4 linked regions of the Oryzias latipes genome follow. The protein of the gene in region 4 interacts with the protein of the main gene of each other region in a biochemical or structural test. Links are inferred from orthologs where the notes say so. Each region holds a gene or a part of one and is shown on either strand. Other genes may lie near its edges.

Region 1 (7,352 bases), about 6.6 Mb from region 4:
TAGTTTACATTTTATCGACTACCCTAATTGTTTAACCGTGGAGGCAATTAACAGTTCAAGAAAAGCAGCTTTGCACTGGTAAAGTACTTTTGTTTAATTGCACTTTGCAAAATCACGTTTCTAATTGCACACAGTGCAGACCAGACACTTTAAAATACCAGTCTACTCATTGCATTTCTGCTTTTTATTCTACTTCGCATTTTGCTTCGTTGCATTATCTATTTTTAATACCCTCATTTGTGCTTTTTTTACTCATTACTTTTATTACTTGTATTTTTGTGCATTTGTTTACATACGTTGTTGAGGGTAGACAACAAGCAAGAATTTCATTTCAATGAGAACTTTGCTTCTCTGTTCCATAAGACAAGAAACACTTTAAATCCTGAATCTGATATGCAGCTTTTCTATGATCCTATATAAGGTCGAGGAGTTATGGTGTGTCAAAGAGCGTGTGTAACATGTCGCCGGCTACATCGCTGACGTTAAAGGATGGACTGTGATATGATCCACAGCACCTACAGTCCAGAACAGTTTGGAACCTTGGAGAACTTGACACAAGCCCACCATGCCACCCTTGTTCTTCTGAGGCAGGGGTCTGCAACCTGTGGCTCCAGAGACACTTGCAGCTCTTTTTTTCCTTCCATTTAAGAAAAATGCTAAAAAAGAAATAAGAATAAATATTAAATTAGTTATGTACATATTGTAATCTTTGGTGCAAAAAAGCATCTAGTTGTTGTCATAATGATAGGAAATGCAGTGTTTTACTTGGCCTTTTTGCATTTCTGTGTTCTTCAGGTAGAGCTTTATTGACACAGGGTGTTTTTTATTTGGAAGGAGCTTGTATTTGCTGCTGCCAAAAGTAAAGAAGTGAAAGTTTTCATTTATAGACAAATATAACAATTTATAATTCAATTATTGTGAATGTTTAAAAGTTAAATGTTATGAATGAATGGCCTTAATGGCCACATAAACCTAGTGTATTTTTGAAAAGGTTAAGTGGGACTTGGCAGCGCTCACTGAGTTTAGATCAATAAGAAACGTCACAGACAAACTGTTTCCACGAAGGCCATGCAGGACACCCTTAATCCTCCGTGGAGTGCCACCCCTCCTGCTAAATGCTGACCGTACAGCCCTCTGCTGGACAGGTATGTCTTGCTCATTGGAACTAAAGTGGGGGCAGCGACGATTGGGTCCGTGTGGGCGGATGCTGTCCCCTGCTGCTGACATGCACACAGGTCTTCTGTGTGGTGAGCGTGGAGGCTGCATTGATTATTCATGCAGCACGCTGAGCTGCACCCCCCGGTGTGATGACATGAGAGGGACAGAGCTGCAGGAGCAAAGGGGGATGAGCGCAGAGATCGCACACCGCTGCTTGCCTGAAGGAGCCGCCTTCATCCATTATTCAGCCTCGTCTTTTTCTAGGCAGGACATCCCCTTCAGCATGACAACACACCCCGCTCGGCAGGGGCTCAGTACGACAAAGGACTTGGGTAAAAAGCCCCCGCAGGTCAGTTCCAGCCTGAAGGAGACCCTGGCCCACCTTCACCCACTCCAGCGTCAGCATGCCATCGAGCTACACCAGCAGCAGCAGCAGCAGCAGCAGCAGCAGCATCAGAGCCGCCCCCCCGTGCAGCCGTCTCTGCCCCCTTGCACCATGCCTGCCTCCTTAAGAGCACGCAGTCGCTTTCTCACCCTGCGGGACAGCGTTAAGAAAAGCCCCACCAAGAGCACGGCCAAGGTGGTGATGGGGCAAGCGGCTCGTAGAAAGGAGGTTTCCTGGATACCATTCAGCTTCGGTCAGGTACTCCAGCTGTGTGGCCAGGGGCCAGCTGTGCACCGGCCTCTCTTAAAGAAACTCACAAACTGTCAGAATGCTCCGTTTAGCAGTTACGCTCTCTGTGTGCGTGTCCAGATCTAACCAAGATCTGCAGGTTTGGAGAAGTACAAGTGTTATGTGTGGTGCAGTCTGAACTTCAAGAAAGGGGGTGTGGTTTTGAATTTAAAGAGCTTCTTTAAAAGGAGCTTTTCTATTTTTTGGAGATTTTTGTGAAACCCCTTAATTGAGTTTTCTCTGTAAGTTCCACAGGTTCTTTTGGACTTCATCCTTTATTTTTCCTGCTTTGTTCTATAAATAGAAGTCAGGGTATTCATCCCTAAAGAAGAGTTCCCGAAGTGAAACACGGGGGTGGGAGTATGATGCTGAGTTCTCCTCTTGTACAGGGAGCTGTAGTTGGCTAGATGATCTCATAAAGAAATGGGAACATGAAGGGTGGATTTAGAAAGATAACTTTGTGCAGGATCAAGATCAGTGTGATCTGGGCTTGTTTTTCATGGAATCGTCTAAATAGATGGAGTTGACAACTGATGCTGGCGGTGGGGTTATTTGCCGCCGCCCCCCCCCCCCCCCCCGGCAGTATAATCTGAGCGCTGCTGCAGAAGTGGGGCTGACTGATCAATGTGCTCAATGTGTTCAACTAATTATAGCTGCTGCTGCTTTTCCATGGGCAGCTTCGGGGCCTGCTGGAAACGAGCGCTGAACCTGGGGAACGGATGAAGCCTTCAGAGTCCTGGAGTTGGCTCAAAACCTGCTCCTTTAGTTGAAGTTACAGTGGTGTCAACTCGTTTTGGATAGGTATTCATGGACAAACGTGAGCACACCTAGCCTGTGTGGATCGATGGGCAGGATGCCCCTCCCTGGTGATGTATGTGAACAGGACATCGCCATTAGTTTAAAACAGTCCTTGTGGTTTAAGCCTAGGTATGTTTTACTTCAAACTTTGCCCTGATTTTAGTTTAAACTAAGTTCAAGTTCAGATGGTGGCAGAGAAGAACAGCTGAAATCAAACACAAGCTGGTTGTGTTTCATCTTACCTCCACTTGTCCCCTTTCATGTCTCAGCTGCATCCCATAATGATGGAAAGAACATCCACTCCCTGAGGAAAGGGATGTTCCCCGCACATGTGCCGAGGTCAGGTAGATGGGCAATAAAGCTCAGAGCAGCAGATGGGGGTTATCCTCACTGTCTGTCATTCACATGACCTCCTCCTGTAATTGGCGGCTCGGTCAGACTCCACTCACCTCTGTGAGCTCTAACCAAACTTTTAAAACTAATTTTGTCTTCTTCCTCCATGCTGTCTGTCTAATCTCCAACTTCTCCAGCAGGCACAAGCCACCCCACCCTCCCCTCCCATCATTCCTGTGATCCCCATCACGCCAATCTCAGTCGAGACCACCGTCATCCCTCCATCCTCACAGGTTTTTTTTCTTTTTTCCCATTTCATTCACTTATTTTTGTTTCTGTGCTCCATCCATAAATCAATCCATACATCATCCATCCATCATCTACTGCTCAGCAGGCTGACGTTTGCCACAGTGGGTGGATGTTGAGGTATATTCTGACAGGGTGTGATGTTTCCTTTTGTGGTGCTTCTTCCCTCAGGCTAACCCCCCTCCTGTGGTGGTGAACACGGACAGCTTGGACACGCCTCCTTACGTGAGTTTGAACCCGTCTGCTGGTCTTCTGTGTAGCACAAACTCTTCTGACTGCGTGTCTGTGTGCAGGTGAACGGGGCCGAGGCAGAGTACGAGTATGAGGAAATCACGCTAGAGAGGGTAAGACCACCAGCTGCAGTCATTCAGGAAACACCCCTCCCACTCATCTTTAAGGGTCAGAGCAGACTGAAATAACGATCATTTTGAATACCATCTGTTGTTGGAATGGTTTTCCAGCATGAGGTATTGGGTTACTTCTCCCTCATTCCTAAAAGATGTTCTGGTGAAGCCTCTGTGTTCACAAACAGACCTGAGCACACTACCTGTGACACTGATGAGCATGCATGTCTCTTCCTGCTGCCAGGGAAACTCCGGGTTGGGCTTCAGTATCGCTGGTGGCACGGACAACCCCCATATCGGTGAGGATCCCAGCATCTTCATCACCAAAGTCATACCTGGAGGGGCTGCTGCTCAGGATGGGCGGCTTAGGTGAGATGACACATAGACTAACTCATGCATATTAGCAGACAGGTGTGTTTCTCTCAGCGTTGGTGGCAGTTTGTATAACAGACAACTGTCCTTAAAGTGTTTCACAATAATAGACGAGGCATAGGCGGATAAACGTGATGAGAAGCATAAAATATGTAGATGTTTAGATGTTACCTGGATAAAATGTTGTATGATTTAGGAGTTTCCTGGCTTTAGTGTTGCCAGATTCAGATGTTATGTAGCTCAGATGTTGCCTGGTTTAGATTTTGTTTGGTACAGATTTCACCCAGTTCAAAGGCCCATGTGTTGCCGGGTTTAGGGTTTGCAGATGTTCATCCCTGATATGAAAAACCTCACTTGGGGCTCCAGGTGCTCTATATCATTTCATCCAGGACCATCTGTGTTTAGTTTGAATTTGGTGGACTAAGTGAAGGTCTCAGAACCCCACCCCCAGTTAACACTGTGCTCCTTCTCTTGTTTTAGGGTAAACGACGTCATCTTAAAGGTCAACGACATGGATGTGAGGGATGTGACCCACAGTCGGGCCGTGGAGGCGCTGAAGGAGGCTGGCTCTCTGGTTCGGCTCCACGTGCGCAGGAGGAAACCTGTCTCTGAGAAAGTCATGGAGATCAAGCTAGTGAAAGGACCTAAAGGTGAGTGTTAGTCTATGACCGAAAACCGGCTCAGATCTTTTCCAGAAATGTTTTCTGCATTATTTCGGGTTTTTGTGAATCTAGAATGGTCTATGTTGGACTTCTCATGGATGTAACTAAGTCCAGCCTCTTTGTTGTACCACAGAACTGCAGCTGGTGATTAGTGTGGCAGCCCCTTCGGGGGGCCCAACAGGTCTATGTTCACGTGCATTCTGGTCTGTGCAGGTCTGGGGTTCAGTATCGCAGGGGGAGTAGGAAACCAGCACATCCCAGGTGACAACAGCATCTATGTCACCAAGATAATTGAAGGTGGTGCTGCGCACAAAGATGGCAGCCTGCAAATAGGAGACAAGCTGCTGGCTGTAAGTCTGACTAAACTGTGCATGATCCAGCCAAATCTGCTGCAGTCTGAGGCCTGTGTGTTTATGCAGGTGAATAGCTCCTGTCTGGAGGAGGTGAGCCACGAACATGCTGTCACCGCCTTGAAGAACACACCTGATGTGGTCTACTTGAAAGTGGCAAAGCCCAACACCGTCTTCATGAATGATGGCTTTGCCCCGCCCGACCTCACTAACTGTGAGTGACATCACTTTTGTTTCATTATGGCTGATGGTCTCCACACAGGAAGTTGTTACAATCCTGCCGTTTCTGTTGGATGCAGCCCTAAGGAGAAAATGCTAACCTGCTCCTCAGTCTGGCTGTTACAACTTCAGTAGATTCTAGTCGAGTACCACAGTACCTCGATGTTCTGGCCAGACCTGCTTCATAAGAGCAACCAGCGGCTAGCACATCTGAATGTTGCTCATTCCTTCTTCATGATTTTCTCCAGGACCTTAGGAATTCTAACTTATAAGTGTTCCACAGAGAATCAGCTATGTGTGTGTGTTTGTGCATAAATTTGAGTGTCATCTGTCTGCCTGAGGGTGTGTCAGTTCTGTGTGGGTGTGTATACTTGAACTCCTTGACTTGGGGGAAGAGCTCTCCACTCACTCAAAGGGGAAGAAAACTGTTTTCATGGTCAAGAACCATGGTCTCCACCATAGAGGTGATCATTCTCCTTTTAGCCAATGAAAAGATAACTGTAAGCTATTTCAGTGCACACTTAAGGTTCTGGTTCAAAATGCCCTACAGAACAACATTATCTGCAAAAAGCAGAAATGAAAACCTGTAGTTCCCGAGTCAAATTCTCTCCGGCACCTAGTGGTGACTAAGGGCAACCCTCTTGAATTCTTCCCCTACCCCTACGGCTTCTCTCTGCCCCTACATTTAGCCCTTCAAGCGAAAGTTTATGGAAAAATAGTGTCTTCAAATTCGGACAACACTACCCCTGGATGGTCATCCGGTGTGCTACGTTATCGCGTAGCTGCCTGCTCTCAGAATGTACATAACATCGGGTTTTTAACTTAAAAAAGCCATGCTAATAATGCAAATAATAATAAAAAATATATGAATTAATAAAACACACAAATACCCAACACATACACATCCCAACATTAAAATCAAAACAAATCAAATTAGTTGTTTTATAAAATCAAGTAAAAACATGTGGACAAGTAAAAAGATGTGTTTTAAGTTTTTTCTTAAAAACCTCCACAGTGGCTGAAGGCAGGCAGGCTGTTCCACAGGCGAGGCCCACAGTGCTGAAAGGAGGCCTCGCTGTGGGTTTTAGTGTGGACCTGAGGGCTCTGGGAGGGTCATAGACTATAAGTAAATCTGATAAAAATGAGGATCCAGGTCCATGTAAACCTATATAAACTAATAAAAGAACCTTAAAAGCGATCCTAAAGCTGACTGGGAGCCAGTGCAAAGACTTCAAAATTGGAGTAATGTGCTCCTTCTTTCTGGTTCTAGTTAAAAGGCATGCAGCCGAATTTTGAACAAGCTGCAGTCGATTGAAAGTATTTCTCTTAACACCAGAAAGAAGAGCATTACAATAATTTATCCTAGATGTTATAAAGGGATGGAGTAATATTTCAGCACTGGCTTTAGAGAGAAAGGATCTCACTTGGGCAACATTTCTAAGGTGATAAAAGGCAGTCTTTGTAACTTGGTCTGCGTGTGATTCAAAAGAGAGGGTAAAGAGATTAAGTAGTGAGATTCCCTCTTGTTGAAGGACAACCTCTGGTTCCCCTTCTTGAAAGAGGGACCACCACCCTGATCTGCTAGATCAGAGGTCTCCAACTTCCAGGCAATGTCCTAAAGGAATGCCGTCAAAGACGCTCCCAAAACATCCAGAGACTTGAGGTAGTAAGGGTGGACCTCATCTGTCTCCAGTACCTTGCAACCGATGTGCTTTTTGACACTCTCCATTTGACTACAGCTTGGGGGACGGATTGGCCCACTTCTGGTTCCCCAGATACTATTTTCTTATGAAATCATGTCAACAGAATTAAGGAGATTCTTCCACCTCTCAGCATTTCCCTGTTCAAGGTCAACAGCTCCTCACCCACACTGTAGACGGTAGTGGCAGAGAACTGCTTGCTTCTCCTGAGAGTCTAGCCCTCTCAAAAGGTTGGGTTTTAGAGTCCAAACTTTGAAGAGGCGCATGCCCAACTATCTTTACCCAGGACCCTCACCCTTCTGCAACCTAAGGGTCCCTCCCACTTAGGGAGGTAACAGGCCATGTCCCGATGATTAGTCCATTTTTGAGGATTGGGTTGTTGCGGCACCAGCCCCTTGTAGACCTTCCTTGTGAGCTCGGGGGAAGGCCAACCCTAG
Region 2 (7,352 bases), on a different chromosome or scaffold from region 4:
CTCAGAGGCTTTCATCAGTGCAACCAATCAGATGTTCAGCCTTTCCTTAGGTAAACCAGCAAAACACTTCAGCGCCCTGAATGATTCATAAAAACGGATCAAAAGCAAAAGGGGAAGAATGAACCCTTTAAAAGGGATTGTGCAAAAATAAGAACGACCAAAGCCGAATCGTTTTGTCTAGATCACTTCAGTCAAGCTCTGAATCACTACACAGTCAGAATTATTGTATCGTCTGGATCCTTTTAGCGAAAGTCTACACAATTTACTCCCAAAATCTGGATAATCTCAGTGAAAGTCTGGATTATTTTAGTAAAGGTCTGGATTATTCCAATAAAGGTCTGGATCGTTTCAGTCTATATTATTCTTAAATCTGGACCATTGCAGCTAAAACCTGGATTATATCAATGAAGGTCTGGATTGATTCAGTCTATATTATTCTAAAATCTAGATCTGAAGTCTGGATTATTTTAGTAAAGCTCAGAATTACTCCAATCAAGGTCTGGATTGATTCAGTCAAGAGTTTTCTAAAACCTAGATTATAAATATCAGTGAAAGTTCAGATTTTTTAAAGTAAAAGTCTGGATTATTTTAGTGTAAATCTGGATTTACACGGGTCCGACGGACGGCTGGTCGTATAGCTGCAGACCCCGCCCACCCGGGACATCAACTGTTTGTACCGCTTCCCTCTGGAAAGAGATACAGGAGCATCAGAACCCAACCGAGTAAACTGAGAAACAGCTTCTTCCCTAGAGCTGTGAGATCCCCCCCCCCCCCCCCCCCGCCACACACAGTCTTAACATAGGCATCTGATCCCCTGTCACCACACAGTTGACAGTTGACTATGCTCTGGTTGCACTTTTAATCATGTATGCAATACTCATTCCATGTGTACAATGTTCATCTTTTTCTTACTGTACAGTCTTCTGTATTATTTATGTTTAATATTAATTAGAAAAGAGCTGCTGGGAAAATGTCATTGTGCACTGCATGATGACAATAAAAGATTCTGATTCTGATCATTTCAAAGTCTAGATTACTCTTAAATCTGGACTAATGCAATTGAAGCCTGAATTATATCAGTGAAAGTCTGGATTGTTTCAAAGTTTATATTAATCTGAAAACTTGATTATTGTAGCTAAAGCCTGGATTACTTGAGCAGAGGTTGTACTTCCTGCGACAAGAAGTTCAACCTGCCTCAGGAGCTGCTGACCATCTTCTACACGGCAATAATCCAGTCTGTCGTGACCGCATCCATCACGGTCTGGTTTGGTTCAGCTTCCAGACACGACAGGAACAGACTACAGAGAATCATCAGATCCGCTGAGAGGATTATTGGTTCCAGCCTTCCCTCCATTCAGGACCTGTACCGATCCAGAGCCTGGAAGCGGGCTCTGGATCGTAAAAGACCCCTCTCATCCTGGACACTGCCTTTTCAGCCTCCTCCCATCAGGACGGCGCTTTAGGACACTGCGAACCAAAACCACTCACCACAAAGACAGCTTCTTCCCCCGAGCTGTCACTCTGATGAACTCCTGACTCCGGACTGCTCAGGGACACTGTACAACCACAAACTGGAACTACTGCTGCTGCATTTTTTGGACTTTTTTAATTTAATCCATTCCTTTATTTAGTTATGTTTATTTATTCATACAGCTACCTTACATCTACCTTCTTTTTATCATTTATCTTTTTATTATTTATCCTTTCACCTTGCTAGTTTGCACGAAAGCACAAGTAACCGAAGACAAATTCCCTGTACATGCGCTCGCTTGGCAAATAAAGTGATTCTGATTCTTCAGTGACAGTCTGGATTACTTCAGTCAGCTGCTGCATGTTTTCTCAGAAGTCGTTTATTTAAAAAAAAAAGTCCTTTGTGTGTACATGCTTGTCACACAGACCTGTCAGGCAGGATCCACACAGCACAGTTCAACATAAGTCCTTTATCAGAAGGTGCAGAGCCCCCCCCTCTGCTGCTGGCTCATGTCGTGTTGTGGGGGGGGCTTTACAGAGGATCCTCTGAGCAGGGGCGTCTTTCATGGGTCTGCGGAGGAGAAGCTGGCTGAGACCTTCGTCTGCGTTTTTGATGATCTTCCAGGCGTCGTGGTGCATGAGCCCCTCCAGAGAGCAGCCGTTGATGGACAGAACCTCATCCCCCACGGAAATGAGCCCAGACTGCTCTGCAGCGCCCCCTGAGGTGGAGGAATGCAACGGTTCAGAGTCACAAAGGAATTTTGTTGGGGAGTAAATCACACACGTGTTGTAACGTCCCGGTCAACAGCTGAATGGACGAAGCTCCTCCTACTAACACGGCCGTGTGGGAGAGTTTTCCACACCAAACAGCTGAAACAACCAGTCATGTTTAGCATGTTGAAGCGTCAGCGTTCTGTAGCTTTGGGTTTGTAATGCCGTCTGTGTGTGATGACAGAGACGCTGAGGTCAGCCTTGTTTACGAGGTCAAAATAATCCCAAAAACCATATGGAAAGGAAAGCCAAGGTGGGAGAATGTTGTGAGAATGTTTGACAGCGTTTCCTCGTTTAAGCATTCAAGATTTAGACCATGTGAATGCTTGTGTGTGTAGATGTGTGCGAGTGGAATTGTATGGGAAGTGAGGGAATGAATGTGTCACTAGCTGTGTTTCCATGACACGTATGCCCAAAACGTTATCGACATTCTAGAAATGTCAAAAAACACAATTTTGCAATGACACTGTTTCCGTTAAATCCTGATTATGCAAATAAACCCAAACCAACACACACGATAAGTCACTTTGATTGACAGCAGATACATTCACATTTCTGCCACGGCACTAGCGCCCAAAGTAGATGTCGGCGTCTTATTCAGGCCGTGGAGCGGTGAGCTCCTCACACGTAGGAGGGCCTACAGATGAAGCCATGTTGGGAAATGGTGGTCGGTGATTTTCCAGAGGAGCTGTGGATCCAACAACTCCACATGACACATGACACGCCTAACAAAGGTGACCTGAGTGTGCACGTGTTAACATCTCTGTAAACATTTGTGTAACTGTGTCACTGTTTGAGTGTGAATGTTATTGTGTAACGTATTGCTTGGTGTATAAGTCATACATAGTTTGGCTGGGGGTGCAACTTATACTCAGGTGCGACTTATATGTGATTTTTAAAAATAAATTGCCACAACCACTAGAGGGCAACACAGAGATTAAGGGATTTCAAGTGATATACCGACCAAGGGAGCCGGTTTAGCTCGTGCTGGTTTGCGGCGCCTTCCGTCCGTGAAACCAGGGTTTGACTCCGGGCTGCTCCCTGTTCCTTTCTCTACCCCTGTGCCAGTTCCAAGCCCGGCTTGAGAAGGTTGCGTCAGGAAGGGCATCCGGCGTAAAACATTGCCAAATTTACCATGCGACTTGTTCGCTGTGGCGACCCCTGATGGGAGAAGCCGAAAGAGGAAGAAGTGATATACCGACGAGGCACAGGATCTCAATTAGATGCCTGGTATACATCTACTGTAGATGTCTACAGGACTTCTCTGACATCCCTATTTTGTTACTATATTAGTTGTCTACCAATGGCGTTCTGCATATAGAGGTCTCCTACACATCTATCTGAAGACCTCTAATCTTGGGATGGCAGTTAGTTTCAGAAAACTTTCGGTAGACATCTAATAGAGTAACAAAATAGAGTTGTCTAAGATGTCCAGTAGACCTCTACAATAGATGTCTATTAGTTATCTAATAGACGTCTAGTCTAAAGATATCAAATGATTAGATGTCTACAGATAGATGTTTAGGAGACCTCTATATGCAGATTTCATGTAGAACACTAAACACTATTGGTACACAACTAGAGTAACAAAATAGAGATGTTCTGTAGACATCTACAGTAGATGTATATCAGGTCTCTAATAGAGATCCTGTGCCTGGTGGGTATATCACTTGAAATCCCTAAATCTGTCAAATTTAGGGATTTCATATATTTTGTAACTCTATTTTGTTACTCTAATCTAATAGAGTAACAAAATAGAGTTGCCTAAGACGTCCAGTAGACATCTACAATAAATGCCTGTTAGAAAACTCATAGACATCCAGTGTCCGGTGGGCAGAAACTACCCAAATGGCTTGTTTACAACGCGCAAGGCTTGATGGCACAACAACGCAATTAACTGTAGGAAAGTTGTTTGCTAGAGATCTAAACCCCAATATGCAATAGACCTCTATGAATAAATGTCTATCAGATGCATAATGCATATCTACAGCTGTAAGCTTTGAATTAGTCATGGTTTAGATATCTAATAGATGTGTCCATGCCCAGTGGGTAAAGAGTTAATCTAGTTTTATCTGAATAACTGTTCATATGTTGCACTTATACACTAGATTCCTGTTTCCAAGCGTCAATGGTTTACTGCATATACTCAGTCTATTAATGCTATTTATTTCATTAATATCTTTTTTCCCCCTGAAATTTCTCCCAAAAGTACAGTGTGATTTTTCTTATTTATGCATTTGGACTTATAGTCTGAAAAAGACGGTATGTGTGAGGTTCTGATGTGTAAATGTTTGAGAGTGTTTAAAGTTCAGCCTGAACTCAACAGACCGGCGGTCACCTGGAAAGATGCGTTTGATGGTGAGGGGCCTGTCCCCCTGGCAGGAAGACTTGCCCCCCTCCAGACTGAAGCCCAGGCCGGCACTGCTCTTCTGAAGCTCCACGGTAAACGCACCGTCGGCTCCTGTGAGACAAAAGGCTTAATGTCAGCTCGCTGGACTGAACAGGACTAACGAGACGCAGGAATAAAAAACACAAAATAAGATATCATCTAAGTGGAAAAATGGCAAAAAGCTGTGGTTATGATTAAGTCATAACTTTTTGGTGTAGGTGTACACCGACAGGCCTTCATTTGCCCATCTGTGATTGTCATTCTGTCATTCTAGTGTAACTCTACTGATATTATAGTCTCATTCTACTGTCAATTGGAAGAAGATCTCCCAAATGAGACTGGTTGTAATTTTCTAAATTTTTATGCACAACCCGGGTTAGACTTAAGCAGCAGCACACTTACGGTCCGGCCAGATCACGGTGTGGCGAGCCGGCTCCACGTTGTTCCTCCAAATAACGACCACAGCTTGGCTGGACGGTTTGGCTTGATGAAGGCACGACACCGCCTCCCGATGGGTTTTCCCCTCCAGACTTGTTCCATTGATGGACAATACGCTGTCGCCTCTTTGGATCGAGCCCTCCAGGCTGGCTGCCCCCTTGGAGAAGACCCTGTGAACCTGGACACACAGCACATCTAAAGGCCGCGTCACACTGCCGCTACCTACATTTTTGCCCAGAGGAAAATTGAACACGTGAACATACGGGGAATAAAATGAGAAAAGTTGAGGTCTTTACATGAACCGTTCACAGATCTATCATAAATGAACCGCGTCAAAACCACGGAAGAAGTTTGAATAAAACATGCAGAGAACACATAAATCCGCGCTTTGTTGAATTTCTTTACTTTGACATTCAGAGCATTGAACAGAAATCACATCTCGCCAGCACCATGGTCAGCCCCCGCCGTGGGCCCTCGCCATGCTGTGTTTTAAGTCAACAGTCAGATTCTCCTGGTCCGCACCAGTTCTAAGTCGGCCGCTGAGATCGGGGACCTCCAGCAGGAGCATCAGCCGGGGAGATCAGTGAGAAGGGCCAAGCAAGCGTCCACAGTCGCATCGGCGCCCGCTGTACTCGGCCACCTCCCTTGCGGCGTTGGAGACCCCATGAGAGACCCCCACTCGGTATAGACTGCTGGAGGGGTGAAAGTTCGGACGATTTATATACCTGTCACACAAAATGCCAATCGTGCAAGAACCGTGTGTGATTATTGCTCTGTTTCTATGCAATTTGTTAGTGTTTTGAATGTCAATTACGCATTTTAACCGTGATATGTGCACCACCGTATGCATGATGTAAAGGTTACCCATCAATGGTACATGACTGAAAAGTCCGTTACATTTCCGTGGATCGGTCATGCAAAGACACAAATTAGCATCTCGCAAAATCAAGCACAATTGTGTGAGATTTACATAATAATTGTGCATAAACTACGTAAAACAGGGATAATCGGCGTAATTGTCATCCGACCACAAATTTTGAACAGCTCAAAACTAAAGTCACGTGATCGGCTGAAACCCTCGACGGACATCTGCACACATCGACCAATGATCGCAAGAAACACTTGAGAATTATGTATATCACAGACGTATGATGAAAGACCGAAATTACACACGTGGACAATGCACAGATTGTACATAAAGCCTGTGTGACACGGCCTTTACATTCTGTAGAAGCATCATCTCCACATTTTCAGCTTTTTCTTGTCTCTTTTTAAAGCCAGAAATGTTAAGGTGCATTTCTCAGCTTTCGGTTTGAATGTTCTGGAACATCAACCACAGTTTTTACTCACAATGACTTTCTTTTGCTCCAGGTCGGCGCCACCGGCAATACTGAACCCGAGTCCGGAGCCTTCGCCTTTGTTGAGGACGACAAGCAGCGAGCCGCGGTCAGCCTGCAGAGTTTAGCGACCACAGTGGGAAGAAAAGTCAAGGCAGCGTGACGGAGACCATGTGTCCATGGAAATGCTTTGTAACATCCAATTCTCTGCTTGCAGCCAAAAATAATCCTGTAAATGTTTCAGCACATTTAAAAACGATTGTTGTACTTCTGAACAATTCAGATGAAGTTTATTACAGAAAAAACTCTGAATAATAATTTGAAGAAAAAGACAAAATAAAATGGAAAGACACGTCTCTGATTCCATCATCACTGCCAAATGTCACCCGATGGTGGCGCCACTAACAAAGATGAAAAATCCATTTTGACCCGATTTCTGTGTTTTAAATGTCACTTCAGATGATCATGAACCGGGCAGAACCTCAGACCTTTACCTGGGCTAGGCTCTGGTGCAGCGGGCTCGCCACCGAGGATCCGCTGGAGGGCGAGGACAGCAGCGCCCGCAGCTTCTGCTGCTTCACAGAGGAGGCTGCCAGCTCGTCCAGCCTGCAGGTGACAGACAGACCTGCACAGGTGAGTCAAGAAACGTGATCTTTTTGATCCTCGCTCTGAAGCTTCACTGGATAAACCTCCGATTGAGGGGGAGTTCAGCACAGCGCCTCCTAGTGGCCGTCGGGGGTTATGCTTCTCATGCATTCTCTGGTTCTGACTGAACCCCGATGACAGAGAACTTCTCTAATTTTACATCTAAGCCTAATCTGATTACAGTTGAAAAGCTGCAGATTAGGATGCAGTGGCCCCCACCTGATGGACCATCCAGGGTCTTTGCTGTTTGTGGTCTCTGGGGGGGCGTGCACGGGGGATCCAGGGTCTGCATGGATGATCCG
Region 3 (7,352 bases), on a different chromosome or scaffold from region 4:
TGATAAGATGCCATGAAGCGCAGCTGTTCACAGCTTGTTGGAAACAAAACAGTAACAGATTTGCATGGAGACCTGGCTTTCATTTTCTGTCTACTGCTGAGATCTGCCCTAATTACGTCTTTAAAATGCTAAAATGCTCCAAGTTCCCCAAAACAGCACTGTTTTACTGCTTTTAACTCCCTCAGATATGCTTGTGAGGGGCTCATTATTCCAGAGGAAGATTGCGAAGCATTGTTATTGGCAAAGAATCTGTAAACACAGCATCAGGTCACAAAGTGTAAATAAGTAAAGAAAGCTATGATGTGAACATGTGAACGATGAGTTGTCTGACAATTCAAAGCCTAATTTTTGTGTTTAGTGCTGCCATCATTTAAGGCCCAAGTTAGCGAACAAATTCTCTGCTTTACTGCATAAATATGACCAAAAACATAATAATATTTCAAACAGGTCCTAAAAATAGATGATCCAATATTGTATCTCTGTGAGCAGTGAAAGTAGGGGAATTAATTAAAAATGACTGCATCCCAAATAGCACACTGCTGCCTATCTTCAGCTTTCAAAAAATGTGAAAGGCTGAGAAGCTGGGGGGCTGCTTTAAAACAACATGTGGACCAATGAAGCCAGACTATAAATGTTTGATGTAAAGCACCAACACGTTGTTTCCTTTCTTACTCCCTTACAAAATCTAATGGAAAAACCAACGTGGCACCACAGAAAACAAGATTAAGGAAAAAATAAGAGCTTTTTTCCCGATGAAGACATGTGATGAATTTTGAATAACGACGTTTTTGAGAAAATTGCACTTTTTCTTTTTCTTAAAGACTCACTCCAATGAAAAAATAGTTTTTTGTGTTTTTTACATATAGTTGTGGTATTATTCTCATGATGGAGGACATATAAAAAGAAAATTATGCTTCAAATTGCAGTTAGAAAAAGCCTATAAATGTGTTGCAGAAGCTACTACGGCAAGCCACAAGCTCCCTGCTGATGCATCCACTTGTAGATAACTAGATCCATGTACAAGCATACAGTTTTAAAACCAGATGTCAGCTTGGGCGAGGAAAGCGAAGACAAGGCTTAATTTTCTATATGTTCATGTCCTCCATCATCAGAAAAATGCCACAAGAACATGCTAAAACACCAAAAACACAGTTTTCCTCAGAGTTGGTCTTTAACCTGCATGCTCTTTAGAAATTGGTTCATCAGATGTTGGAATTTCTTTTTTCCAAGTGGAATATCAAGTTCCCAAAGGTAACAATAGGGGGAAAATTTCATTAAAATGTTTTATTTTTAATAATGGTCCAATAAATACAGTATGTGTTGTTGTTGTTTTCAATTATGACTAACCACTGTTCTTGGCAATAATTTAAAAGAAAATTTAATCAAATGTGATGCCATTTTGACATCTGACTCCATTGACAATAACATTTCATTCTTCCATTCACTAAATGTAAATTAATTTTTACTACTGTAGCCAACATGTGGCTCTAAAGAATTGCCATTTCTGAGATTATTAATACATATACAGTACAACATTAAAACGATACTATACAACAGCTCATTAAATGTAATCCTAACTTCTTATGTTGATTTTGCACAATATATTAACCCTGAAACATGCATACTGACATGTATATACAGTGAATTCCTAAATTTTTTTTTAGGAGTGATTACAGTATTAACATTTCTACATTATCCTGGACAACCCTTTAGCAAAGCAGAGAAGGTAAGAGGTTGAAAATTAGGCCTCAGTCTAGTAATCAATAATAATACGGCTGAGTCCCAATACGTTCTTCCTCCTCTCAGTCAGCCCAAAGATGTGGATTTGTAAGTTTATGTGCAGAAGAGTTACTGGCGGTTCATTCTTGATGAGAAAGTAAGACATTCTGTCCTGCACATACAGCTGTGGGAACAAAACATTTTTTTTCTGGCCAGGACATTTTATTCTCCTTAAAAAAAACTCTCATAAGTCCTCATAGGGGCCTCCCACTGATAAGTGCACACGCCACATGGATTTCTGCATTGTGCCAACAACAGCAGCTGTTAGGAAGAAATGACAGAAATGTTTTTTTTTCATTCAGTTGACTAAAAATGGAGCAAATTTAGTTTCTAAAACATTTGATTATTTGTTACTATAGGAACTGGATATGGATTACCTTCTTCAGGCCTTCTCTGGCATCAGCTAAACCAAAATGCCAATTTTCTGTCTTGTCTGCAAGACAAACTGTCTTGCTTCTTACAGACAATAAAAGCAGCCTTTAAAGTGTCCAAATTCTCGTATAGAGAGAAGGATAGTGTGATGTGCCAGGGCCATATTCTCCTTGAAATGTGAAAAGCAATTTAAATTCAGTGTTAGGAATGTTTTTCCTGAGTTACCATTTAGATTAGACTGACTATGGCAGAATGTAAGTACAGAAACTGACTTTTGTTTTCTGTACAAACATTTTGTGTTACATCACCTTGACACATCAATAAAAATTGCACTGGAGGTACTTTATGGTGCTTTTTGCTTCTTTTCGTCACCTGTGCTATGATACCTTACAAGATACGATGGTGTATTGCATGGCTAGATCACATGACGATCACAATATTCTACTTGTTCTTTTCTGTTCGAACTTTTACTGTTACGACTCTCACTGTTTTACTTTTACTACGCTGTGTTTTTAAAGCTCTTCATAATTTTGCCCAAGTTTACTTAACTCAGCTTTTAACTGTCATTCTAGAGTTTTAAAGTCTGCCAGCCAATATTTGCTTCATGTGCCCATTGTCATGACAGAAACACTGCTGGCCCTCAGTTATGGTAAAACATTCCTGCAGAACTGTCTATAATATCAGACCTTAACAGTTTTAAATGTCAACTAATATGTACCTTTTTAGAATGGCTTTTAGAGCTCAGTAGTCGGTGACATTTTCTTTTCTTGTATTCATTCTATTATATTCTTATTTGTACATTCTTACTTTCATGCATTCATTAGCTAATTGCTTTTGTAATATGAAGGTGTTTTTAATTTTTTTTGTTCATTTGTCTAATTTTAAACTTTGTTTTATTGCGAAGCACTTTGGTACCCTGAAGCAGTTGTAAAGTTCTATATAAATAAAGCTTCATTCGTTCAATAACATTGCATGAACATGTATTGAGATGTGGGATACCATGGAAACAAGCAGCCACAATGTTCTAGATTTTGTTAACTTTTGCTACATTATTTTAAATATACATTTTTAAATGAGTTAGACAACATTGCAAATTGGTAATCATTTTGGGGACATTTATACATTTCTTTTTGTGTCAAAAAATCCCCCTATAACAGAACACTTAGCAATGGTAAAAGGTGACCATAAAAAGTCATATCCTAGAGATGTTTAAAAGTCTACATAAAGATTAAAATGTGAAACTTTGACTGTGCAAATACCAGAGCACTGATTAGTTTTGCATCAAACGCTGTCTGATCTCACCTGTGAAACACTCCAGGAAGTCTTGTTCTAGTTTAAGAGCTCGATCCATTCCTTTCCTGGCCTGCTCTTCTGTCAGACGAGTGTTGATTTCTCTGTTGACATCACACACATTCCTTTAATTTGTACTCTCCTTATTTTTCAATTTAGAGTAAACACATAATTTCTCAATCAAACATTTAAAATTTATTATTTAGCATTCTAGTACGTACAGAACATTCTCCAGGGATTTGGGTCGGACAAAGATGGCAATAGGATGCAGCTGAGCTGCTTGTAGTCTGCGGACAGCATTGGCAGAGACATCAAGGATGCAGTGTTTCCCTTGCTGCATGTGCAAATATAGAAGGACAGAAGAGAAAGCAAATTTCATTAAAGGAAAAAGAAAAAGTAACAGAAACAAGGCGTAACACAAAAAAGATAATTGGAGTACAATAGGATACTTTTACGGCTAGTTAAAACTAAGTTTTTATTGATATCAACCAAATGTATTTATATAGTACTTTTTATAACTAGTACCACAAAGTGCTGCACACACAAATACTTACATAAAAATGAATTAAAAATGGATTCACACCTCACTTTACCTATGGAGGCAAACATTGGGCATCAGATTTTACTTAAATTAGTCTTTACTTTGCAAGTCAATGTTGATTCAGGCAATTGATTTCAGTGTCATTTATTGTATTTTTGTAGGCAATCAATTGCTTTTAGTTACCTTTTTGATGTAAGGATTTATATTTTTCTAGAAAGAGTTCCACTTTTTGACCCGCTTTTTTAGTTAACTTTAGTGGATGGTTTGTTTTTCCGTATTTTGTGCAGGCAGCCTGTAGCTCCTGCCAGAGGTTCTGCCCACTCACAGCTGCTTGCATTTGGTTAATTTTATATTTTGTATTTGAGGTTCCCCTTCCTTTGTGTGTTTGGTTGTTCTCCATGTTACTTTGCTCTAGTGTTATCCACCACTCTGTGTTAATTTAATGTCCTAGTTTCTGGGTCTCCTTTGTTTGTTTTGATTTTTTAAAATTTAATTTGTCCTTCAATTGACTCAACTGTCAAATGGAGTATTTTGCTGCACTTGGGTCTCCACCTGTTTGCCCACTGTAACAGATTTCTTCAGTTTGTGTTACTAGTTATGTGTAACGTTTTTCTTAACCAAATAGAGTTGGTTTTGAATGATTAAAAAAAAATTTGATAATGAATAAAATTGGTCTTTCAAATTGATTTAGTATTTTAGTATGTGGTATCCAACCAAACACTGTATGTGTTTTGAAGCAGTTATCCATAACTCATACAGATAGTTTTGAATCAACAAATAAGTTAATAGGCACCTGTTCTGCCACCTCTCGGACGCTCTGAACGCTGGTGCCATACAAGTGACTGTTGTACTGGCCAGCCTCTATGAATCTATGGCTTTGGATATCTTTCTCCATCTGTTCCCGTGACGACACAAAATGGTAATCTCTTCCATCCACTTCATAGTCCCTCTTAGGCCTCGTAGTGTCTGTCAAACACAGTAAAAAAAACAGAATGGTACATTTTATATATGCTATAGCAAATGTCAAAAATAAAGCTATTGCTTTTCTGCAGACATCTTGCTCAAGCTGCAGCAGACATGTCATTTAAAAAGTGAGAAACAGGTCAGTCTCCGTGAGTGACAGCACAATTACTCACGAGGGACGCAGGATCCAAACTTATCAGGGAACTCAGACAACAGGTCGTCATTTATCCTGTCCTTCACCGGACCCAGAATGATAATGGGCCTCGCATAATGTACTTATCACGAGGGAAAAGAACAAAAAGAGAGCAGGATTAGACACAAAAGAGGAATCATAACAGAGATTTTATTTGATGCTGAAATGGAGTTTCAAACATTTCACTCCACAGCCTTACCTTCCACTTGAGTGACCGTCTCATAACTTTGTGACATTTTCTTATCTCTCCCTGTTGGCGGAATATAATTGAATTTAGTTTCAGGTTTAAAGTAACTTTTGGGTTTTATATTTGCAAATTAGCATCTTCATAAATCTATGTGAACGTGGCTGTATTTGACTTATGCCAACTAAAAGCAAATCCATCCATTCAAGCTCTTATTCACAAGCACCCGTTTAGGTTGGGTTGACCCTCATGGGTGCTGTGGGTTGTCCGGGCCCGTAGAGGGTCCTAGTGGCTGCATCTTAAGGTCAGCACAGGTGTGTCTTTTAGTTCCCTTGTGGCTCATGCAGCCACCTTAAGGGGGATCATGAAAATGAAACATACGATTATCGAGCATGTGTTACCGTGAAATATTTGTAAGGATAATGTAAGTTACAAACACTCATGATGTCGTGCAGTGCCCTTCCGCAGCACTCCAGTCGTTAGTACGTTGCGAGTACTGCTTCCTTACTAACCTTGCTGCACGCACAGGGAGTGCAGGTGATGCAAAAGGACGCCCAGGAAAACTACGCTCTGATTGTCTAACAGCCAGGCTACGAACAACGGGCGCACACATATAACTTGAACATCACTAACGAGCCCCATGCAGAAAGCGTAGGGTTCAGGGAGGTTGAGAAAAAAGAAAAAATCCTACCATTGTGCCTGCGTCTGACCTACTTCAACCTTACTAACCTATAACCTGTAAGGGCATTTGTCAATAAGGCATTTCATATCTCTCCAGTTTAGAAAGAAAATAGACTGAATGAGAACATTTTAAACTTCTTAGTAGTTAAAAAAAATCTACAAAGTTTAACAGCAGAGAACATGGGCTTTCTCTAAATTTAATTAATTGATGTCTAAGTTATACATTTTTCTTTGTAAAGGAAAAGAAGTTTGCATGAAGTTTAGGGCTGAAAAGTGGTTCCACTCCCATCCATCCACCCATTTTCTTAACCTGCTTTAGCCCTTTTGGGGCCACGGGGTTGCCAGAACCTAACCAGGCTTCAGTTGGTAGAAAGTGGAGTACACCCTGGACAGGTCACCAGCCTGTTGTTGAACCACACAATCACACACGCATACATACTCAGAGTCACACCTAAGGACAATCTGGAGTAATCAATCAACCTATGAAGCATGTTTTTGGACAGTGGGAGGAAGCCGGAGTGCCTGGAGAAAACCCACACATGCACAAGGAGAACATGCAAATTGCACAGAGACAGGACCCGTTAGGATTTAAACCAGGGGCTTCCCACTGTGAGGTGAAGGCGCTAACCACTGCTCCACTCTGGTTCCACTCCCACTCTGACACTTTAATATGGTATATTCTAGCATATAGTGAGGTTTTGTTTCAATTCATCACCTTGAGTGCTCAAGCTGTCTCGACCATGATCCTGCAACAAAGAGAAGATGTCAGATTTACACACAGAAGGACAGATTGGAGCAAGAGTTTCAGAGAACAAACATACCCTCTCTTTGGTGTTTCCACGAGACCAGTCTTTCCTTTCCACTCTGCAAACAGGGATGAGGAGGAATAACAAAACAATCACAACAGAGATTTAAATGTAACTTTATTGAGATGGGATTTTTCAGGAGTTGTACCTGTGCTTGCTGGGAATGAAGCCGACCTCCTCTGCCTCGTTCTGGGGACTGACCCTGCGGGCTTGCCACCACTCTTCGTCCCCGCAGTCTAACACATGCAGCACGTCCCCAAACCGAAAACTAAGAGCTTGACTGAGGAAGCCACAGTCTGCAGTCTTGTCATAGTCAAAAAGAGCCCTAAAACATGGAAAAAAAAGGAACAATGTTTTTCATTTACAAGTATTCCTAACAGCAAATATGTTACACCTTAAGTGCTTCCAATGCCATATTGAATTCTAAACCACTTTAATACCATTTTTCTTTGCTGAAGAATATGAGAATTCCTGGCGCACCCTAAAGGGCCTTAAGTAAACCTACATATTGTCCTTAAAATTTTTTATTTGATCTAAGTTAGG
Region 4 (8,046 bases):
GCGCCGCCCCAGCCCAACCAGGAGAGCAGCCCCCCCGCCGCACCGGGAGAACCCAACGCAGGGCCCCACCGGATAAGGACGCCCACAGCCCCAAACGAGCACCCCACCACCACCCAGGAGTTCCAGGCATCCCCCCGCCCCAACCCCAGATACGAGCCAAGACCCCCAAAGGGAGACCCGCTCCGCACTCCAGGCAGCCATCCGCCTGGCCCACGGTTGGTCCAGGGAGGAGCAAGGCAGGGGCCCGCCGCCCCCGCCCAGGAGGGGGGAACCCCGGGGAAAAAAGAGGGCCCACAAAATTAGCGTAGTTAGAGTAACGTTTGTTTTGGCAGTGTCAGACAGTTTTTAATATGTTACTAGCAACGCTGGAAATTAGCGTAGTTAAAGTAACGTTTGTTTTAGCGGTGTCAGACAGTTTTTTATGTGTTACTAACAACCCTGGAAATTAGCGCAGTTAAAGTAACGTTTGTTTTGCCAGTGTCAGACAGCTTTTAATATGTTACTAGCAACGCTGGAAATTAGCGTAGTTAAAGTAAAATTTGTTTTGGCGGTGTCAGACAGTTTTTTACGAATTACTAGAAACATTAGAAATAAGCATAGTAAGTTTGGGAGATACAAGAATTGTGAATACGCTAACGCCTCTACCATGGCTAATGTGTAGCATGTTACAAAAAAGTTCTGGAGTTAATGTGAATGCATTTCATAAAGTCTGACTAACTAACAGACTTCTCTCAGACTTTTTGTCACGCATAATGCCCCTCATAGTTCGGTTCACCTTAATATGACAAGTTTAAAGATAGACCATTCATTGTTGGGGCGTGCTATAGTGCGTAAATAAGGTAAATGTGCACGAGTGCTAGCACTAGCATGAGTCGTCATTGATACTATTTGTAGAGTGTACACAGACACACTTGAGACATCAATGTGAACGATAGTGATACGGAAAATAGATTTTTCCATATTACCAGAAGATAAGCCTGATGACAAAGAACAATAGACAAAGCCCCATTTTGTCTGCTTTTGAATCAGATATATTGTTGTCCCTAAGACCAGAGGTAAAAAACGGCTTTTGTTTGGAGGCCAAAAAATTCAAGCTAAATAACTATTTTTACATTTAATTTAAACTAAAAATGTAATTGTTCTTTTTAATTTAATTCGTAATATGTTTTACTTTATACTGTGTGCATTTCACAGCATTCTAAAACAGTAGTTTATTAATATAAAGAAATGAGACAGTAGACTTGTTTTAAACACAATTTTTAAAAAGTATTTTTCCCAGGAATGTACCATTTTTGTAAATGTTTCCCATTAGTTTACTTATTAAATAACAGGGTTAGTTTTACCTCTGCTTTAAAGATGACACAGAGGTAAATAGAAGTATTGTGACAGCTTTAAACATTCATCCAGATGAGAAAAGCAGGAAAACAAAGGCTGCAAAAATGTGGCGTGATGGCTACTGCAATGAAGCTGTCACACGATGCAATGACACCAATTTTGCAATCCTGACCCACAAGCAAAACTTTAAGGTGCTGAGAATGTTGGTGGATGATTATCAGAAGATTTCTTCCCTCAAATACAGACAATCTAAAGTTTAGCTTGCGTGGAAAGGCTACATCAAGTTACATGTAGGTTAGCTTAATTCCATTCAAATTTGTTATTTGAAGGCTTATTTATAAACAAATTTAATGCAATGACATAATGAAGCAAATGTTAAAAACTAGTGCAGATAAAACAGATCATAACATAAGCTTGATTTGTATGGGGGGACCACAATACAAGGAAGAACACAGAAAATGTGGCATAATATACAATAAATAATATTCCACATTGATATTTCAATGAAGCTACAAAAGCTAAGAATCCCAATTTTACTTTTTGTCCTTTGTTATTTCTCTCCAGACTTTGTTTCTGGTTTTAGTGTTATAACAGGTAACTAATATCTGTCATAAATTCAGATTTTATACATTTTTTTTTCTTATTTTCTAAACGAACAATGCCGTCTCCTCCTATTTATAAGTTTATTATATTATAAGTTTTAAAGGCCTACTCTGATTAAAATGGTGTTTTTAACATGTTTTTGTGGCATTTTTCTGATGACAGAGTACAAATGAGGAAATTTAAAAGTAAAATTGCATTTCTGAGTATTTCTTCATCCAAATTGTTGAGTAGGGGTGAAAAAATTCCATTCGAAAAAGCTTGTAGTTGTGATGAGGGTGCGACTATTTCCGGGCAAACAGGTGCCCTGCTCTGCTATAAACAACTAGATCCATGCATGTATTCATTTTCCTCATCTAAGCTGGCACCTGACTCAAAACTGTACATATGCCTGGACAGCGCTGATATTGCACGCCATTTTTGTTGCACCTGTAATGTTGGGTTGGGGTTATGAGGGGCTGTAAGCTAGTGGGAGAGTGTGTAAACAAATGGATGATGGAAAGTGGAGGCGCGGCATCTCCACGACAACAGACCATCCCACAAATCAGGTGAATTTCTAAAAAACTTCTGCCACTCTGCAGAAACTATGTCCAAGAACAGAACAAACAGGTTAATTGAGTTTTGGCTAAAAATGGCATAATCATAATTAAAAGACCACAGGGAACACTTTTACAAAAGATCAAAAGAGGATAGGTGTGGGACTTTAAGGGCTTTACAGTACACACAGATAAACCCACTTTGTGTTTTCTCAACATTTGTTACAAAAGAGAAACAATTAAACCAATTCTTGATACCGCCTTAAGTCAATGAGAAGCAGCACTACTGTTTGTTGCAAAAAGACACTGCTTAAAATTTACATCACAGTCTGAGGAAAAACTGCATGTCTGTTTATTTTTGAATAATACTCCAATAAATAAAATCAAATAGGACATTATTATATACAACTACTATCATAGTACTGCCTGCTTAAAGGAAGACTTGGAACTGTGTGACAGGCGTGATGGAGAGTTTTAGGGTTAAGCTGTGATGCTCTCAGATGCTTCTGTACAGGAAATCACACTAATGGATCGGCACATTTGCCACAATTTCCACCCAGATCTAAGTCATGTGTAAAAGAGGCAACTTATTAAGACCTTTCACTGTCCGGTATAATCTGCCCCACTGATTATCTTCTCCCCCAACCAATCCCACCAACCTCCCTAATGTCCATCACATTAAAGCTCTTACTCTAACCTCTGATGAACAGCGGTTGGAGGCTGAATTCGAAAAATATGTTTTGCAGACATATGGTTGAATAGGTCAGGGCCATTTCAGCCAAAATAAAGCCCCCCCACCCGGAGCCTAATTTTACAATTAATAGAATAAATTATTTTTTATCATCTCTGCTGAAATAGAATTTTTACCAAAAGAATGAAGGGGAATAATTAGTCCAGGGGGAAAACACTGATCAGACACGCAGAAATCAGGAGGAAGCAGACAGGCCAGAGTTTGTGCAAGGTGCTCTCCATCCGCGCGCAAACCTTGGCGGTGGCCGGGGGGGAACCACATTTGACGCCGTGCGTGCGTCGCTCTGCAAAAGGCGGCACAAAGGCGCACGGCGAGGCGCGTGCTCAGCCGCTGTCACACACGTGATGATCTTACAAATATCGCTTCAATTTGGGTCAATCAGAAGAAAAAAAAGCACCCAGTCAGAGCTGCAGCGTTTACTTTCACACCCCGGCCGTGGATAGATGGATGGTTGGATGGATGGATAGACGGATGGATGGATCGAAATGGGGGGGGGGGGGTGCAGTAAGGATGCATGGGGGGAGTCCATCATTAGTTCACGATCAATGTATGCGTACCACGGCGCATCAGCACAAACACACACCACACCTAAACTGGAATGGAACATTTGGCATGGCCCAGCCTTGATCCAAAAAACAGCAATCCCAGCAGGTTGTCTCTCACAGCAGCATCTATGTGCACAGACAGTGAGGCAAAGAAGTGAACTGACATTGCCTTACTGTAAAATAAATTCCTCTGGGGGGGGGTTGGAGAGCCTCCTTTCTTCCCCTTTGGACTCCCCTCCTTTCCGCCTTTCCGACGTGCGAATTTCCCGAAATTCAGACCATGCGAAATAGGTAACCAGCTCCAATGAAGTGTCAGCTCCAGCTCCCCCTCCGTTTTTATTTTTTATTTTTCTTTGCGGGAGGGGGAACCGCCAGCATCCAAGGCGGGAGAAACAGCTGTGATGAGGAGGGATGGAGCGACCGGGCCGGAGCACTGCGCAACTGCGCACGGGAGAGGACGCAAGGAGAGCGGCAGAGGTGCTTTCACTCCCTCCCTTCCTCTGTAGTTCACAATAAAACATCCCCCCATCCCTGCCAGACAGACTGACAGACGGCGTGGGTGCCAGTGCCAGCAGCGACACCTATTGGCGATGAGAAGTACAGTTATGTGCGGGCCGGGGGGGCGGGGGGATTAGTGTCTCCCAGCCTCAACAGCTGGAATAGAGACGCATGTTGGATGTGGGGTGGATCCTACTTTGTTGGTGGTGCCTTCAAGCGGCAGTCATTAGTCACAGGCAGGTTTAACCGTAAAAAAGGCCCAAATGATCTGCTGAATGCAGGAACAACACAGAAAATTGAGTCGGGGAGGTGCTGGTTGCAAATCCTTTTTTCTGATTTATGGTGTAATTCCAGATATGAATCGCTTTAGTGAAACAAAAAGGGACAAAAGAGATTCAAATGAGTCTCAGCTGTGGATTCAGAGAAGCACAAACACTGTTGTTTATGTAATTTAGGTTACTGCAGATGATATGTAACCTCTTAAAGGGCCTATATCAGTTTTTAGAGCTTTTAAGTAGTATTATAATGTTAATTCTTCACTATTATTGGTATTTTGATCTGTTCATGCTGAGTATTCCTCTAAAAACCTGTGCTCTGAGCACCAGCCCCTCCCAATCCACAAAAATGAGGTGGTTCTCACATTGTGATGTCACAAAGTGAAGAACAGACCCTTCCAGGAAGAGTCTGCACTGCCAGCACCGCCCCCCAGGCTAACAGAAACACACATCGACAATTTATCCACTAAGCTAGCAGTGATCGGCTGAAAACACTTTGCTTTTACATTCATATTATGCACATCCTCCTTAGAAAAAGTTTGGATGTTGTTTGTTGTCGTGGGAGAAATGCAGAGACGCTGCTGAGGCCGACTCTAGGTTTACGTCATGAAATGGGCGGCACCCACACGGAGGGAAAGGCGGAGCCTCAGAGATCCAGTCGTCTTACTTCTGGGTTGGAAATGAACTTTGAACTCATATTTCATTAAAACATGTTCTTAAGAATGCCAAAGGTAACATATAATCATAAATATGGATATAATAGTTATATCCATATTTACTAGTAGCTCAGTGCTTCTCAAATAGTAGGGCACGCGATGCCAGGGGGGGCGCGCGGTATTGGCGGTTTTAGGCACAGGTTATACGGGCAATTGTCCGGGGCGCAAATTTAACGGGGGGGCATTGGTGACAGTGTATGTAAGAAAGGTAATGTAAGAAAATGTAAGAAAATCATCAGAGCTGATACAAACAGAACTGAGCTCTGACTGCGAGTTAATTTAGCAATAGTACTAAAAAGAAATCTTGGATTATTTCCATTCTCCGTTATTAAGGTTGAATAGTACAGAGTTCTAGCTCTACGCAGAGCTTTTTTGTAATTTAATAGGCTATGTTTCCAGGTATTCAGACTGCTCTGAACCGGAGCGGCGCCATTCTCTTTCCAACTTGTTTAAGAGAACGTGTTTCAGCGTTAAACCACGGTGCTCCTCGGTTTTGTCTAACGAACTTAGGTTTCAGGGGGGCAACAACATCGAGTATACTCTTGAAGGCTTGTAAGGCATCATTAACAAACAGGTCATTTCTACTAGGACTGATGCTATGGGAGCTGGACTCAGAGTATTTGCTCAGACTGCTACTAAGTACTGGCTGAACTGTGAGTTTAAACTCAGACACAGAACGGTCAGATAAGGTTCTTCTAAGCTGTTTCTTATTCACTGGGGCAGTAGCATGTTCTAATGTAAACTGGAAGGTAAACAGAAAGTGATCAAAAATGATGGGGTTATGAGTAAGGACACTGAGCTGGCCAATCTCTATACCATGGGTTAAAACAAGGTCCAGGGTGTTCTTGTGACAGTGAGGGCGCGAAACATTTTCTTTTTCCTAGGGGGGGGGCTGGCAAAAAATAATTGATAAACACTGCCCTAATGGGACAGCCATCAGCTGATGACGATTCAAACACAAACACACCACCCATCAAAGAGTTTCATTCAACTATAATGTGTCTGTCCAATATGTGTCTAAGAAACAAACCCAGTTGGTTCCACTGACATCTAGTGGAATTAGTGGTTTTCTACAATCGCCTTCAGAATGATTTTGCACAAAACTAGTTATTAATTTTGATTTTACATCTCAAGATTAAATAAGAGCTTTTTTGTTTTTTTTAACCAAAAAGTGTAAAAATCCTTTTTGTAAAAATAAATTGTATTATTATTTTTATGCTTCTTTTGTAACATTTAAAAGAACCAGGATTTAAAATATACTTGATGTTTGAGTTGATTAATTTTATTTTGAAGTTGGGTTTGGTTGAACGCAAAGAATTATTTTGTTGGTGGAAAAAGAAAGGGAGCTATCAATCTTGGGAGCACCATCCCCAACATTTAATGAGGTTTTTGAACCAGATTTAGTTAATTGGACCTGTTGCTGATAAATTATGACTCACAGCAAGTGTTTGTTTCCAACTGCCATGAAAGAGGAAACTGATGGGTTTAAAACTCCTGGAAACCAAGCAGCGAAGCCTTACAGCACATTTTGGTCCGGGGCTCATCCAGCCTAAATCAACACTTTAGAAGTATTGGGTCAACTTTTACGAGGATCTTTCTAGCTGGCTCCTTTCATTTCCTTTCCTGTTGCGGCTCTGGACAGACGGCTGCATCCCTGTAAACCCACTGCAGAATAAAAATACCAACTGTGTCAGTAATACAAGCTGACAGGAGGTTGTGTTCTTTATTGTGGAATGTAAAAGTATACTAAGATGTGTAGGAATCCCTGGCATCAAAACGGCCTTTGCCCTGTGGTAACGTCATTCATGTGAACCAATTTAAACTACCTATACGCGTTCCTCCTCAAACAAACCATAACGATATTACTTTTTATAAACGGCTGATTTGATTTGGTTTCCTTTGGAATTCGACATGAAGCTACATTCACGGAGCATTCAATTTTACTTAAAGCATAAACTCTTACCGAGGACTCACACAATGGTGGGATTCAGCTATTTTGAAAAAAGCTTCTATTAAGGGTCAGCCAAATATGGATGAAAAATAGAATTAGAAATTTGAAAAAATGACAAGATTAAAAGTGAAGATGTGAGCACAGTTTTTAACTTAAGAGCACAAAATGTAAACTGGAAGGAAATATTGAAAAGAAAATTAAATTAGAAAAAAACATAATTTCAACTTGAAGAAATAACTGAAAATTAGAGGAAAAAAAACTTTAGATTGGAATAAAAGTATTATTCTAAACTTGAAAGAATTATTGAATTAAAAATAATAAAAAAATTGTGAATTGATTTAGTTTTTAAAAATTAGAAAATTAAATTGTAAATTTGAAAATGAATAAAAAATATTTTTGTAATTTTGAAGGAATTATTAAAATGAAAAAATAAAATTGGACACTTGAATAAATTTTAACTTAGTAGAATTTTTGAAATTTAGAAATATAAAATTTTAAATCTCAAAAATATATGTTAATTTACACTTAAAGGAAATATTGAAGTTTAAAAAAATATAATTGCAAAATTTGAAAAATAAATAAAAAATACAAACTGAAAACTGATAAAATAATGTTTATTTGTAACAGCTGCTGTGTTGTTTTTTCAACTTTTGCATTTTTGTTTCCTTCACCTTGGTTCCAGTCTTAAATTTACAGTTTTTATTCAGATTTTGTGTATTTGCTGTTGATCCTTATTTCATGCGGGGGTGGGGGCTTGAATCCATCGGCCACCAGGATGATTGACACGAGGTGATAGAGGTGATGGTGACGTTATTCCTGCTCCACAACAGCGTCTGCTG

The links.
Region 1: the proteins of catenin delta-2 (region 4) and discs large homolog 1-like protein interact in a test that uses a peptide from one of them, tested with the Homo sapiens proteins (2 studies listed by IntAct, with this or other methods). The link is inferred for Oryzias latipes from reciprocal best matches to the Homo sapiens genes CTNND2 and DLG1.
Region 2: the proteins of catenin delta-2 (region 4) and pdzd2 form a complex in vitro, tested with the Homo sapiens proteins (2 studies listed by BioGRID and IntAct, with this or other methods). The link is inferred for Oryzias latipes from reciprocal best matches to the Homo sapiens genes CTNND2 and PDZD2.
Region 3: the proteins of catenin delta-2 (region 4) and disks large homolog 4 interact in a test that uses a peptide from one of them, tested with the Homo sapiens proteins (2 studies listed by IntAct, with this or other methods). The link is inferred for Oryzias latipes from reciprocal best matches to the Homo sapiens genes CTNND2 and DLG4.

What each region holds. Positions count from the first base shown.
Region 1 is NC_019875.2:12,818,116-12,825,467, forward strand, and holds part of discs large homolog 1-like protein, read left to right. Parts: intron 1-3,159; coding exon 3,160-3,255; intron 3,256-3,439; coding exon 3,440-3,493; intron 3,494-3,561; coding exon 3,562-3,612; intron 3,613-3,856; coding exon 3,857-3,981; intron 3,982-4,464; coding exon 4,465-4,634; intron 4,635-4,859; coding exon 4,860-4,996; intron 4,997-5,065; coding exon 5,066-5,210; intron 5,211-7,352. UniProt on the Homo sapiens protein: Essential multidomain scaffolding protein required for normal development. Recruits channels, receptors and signaling molecules to discrete plasma membrane domains in polarized cells.
Region 2 is NC_019867.2:30,194,674-30,202,025, reverse strand, and holds the end of pdzd2 (PDZ domain-containing protein 2), read right to left. Parts: coding exon 7,270-7,352; intron 7,012-7,269; coding exon 6,900-7,011; intron 6,521-6,899; coding exon 6,419-6,520; intron 5,247-6,418; coding exon 5,033-5,246; intron 4,703-5,032; coding exon 4,580-4,702; intron 2,190-4,579; coding exon 1,927-2,189; 3' UTR 1,829-1,926; downstream 1-1,828.
Region 3 is NC_019872.2:14,409,314-14,416,665, reverse strand, and holds part of disks large homolog 4, read right to left. Parts: intron 7,135-7,352; coding exon 6,958-7,134; intron 6,868-6,957; coding exon 6,825-6,867; intron 6,750-6,824; coding exon 6,719-6,749; intron 5,389-6,718; coding exon 5,338-5,388; intron 5,221-5,337; coding exon 5,119-5,220; intron 4,949-5,118; coding exon 4,776-4,948; intron 3,776-4,775; coding exon 3,663-3,775; intron 3,546-3,662; coding exon 3,454-3,545; intron 1-3,453. UniProt on the Homo sapiens protein: Postsynaptic scaffolding protein that plays a critical role in synaptogenesis and synaptic plasticity by providing a platform for the postsynaptic clustering of crucial synaptic proteins.
Region 4 is NC_019875.2:19,376,002-19,384,047, reverse strand, and holds the start of catenin delta-2, read right to left. Parts: upstream 4,264-8,046; 5' UTR 3,932-4,263; intron 1-3,931. UniProt on the Homo sapiens protein: Has a critical role in neuronal development, particularly in the formation and/or maintenance of dendritic spines and synapses. Involved in the regulation of Wnt signaling.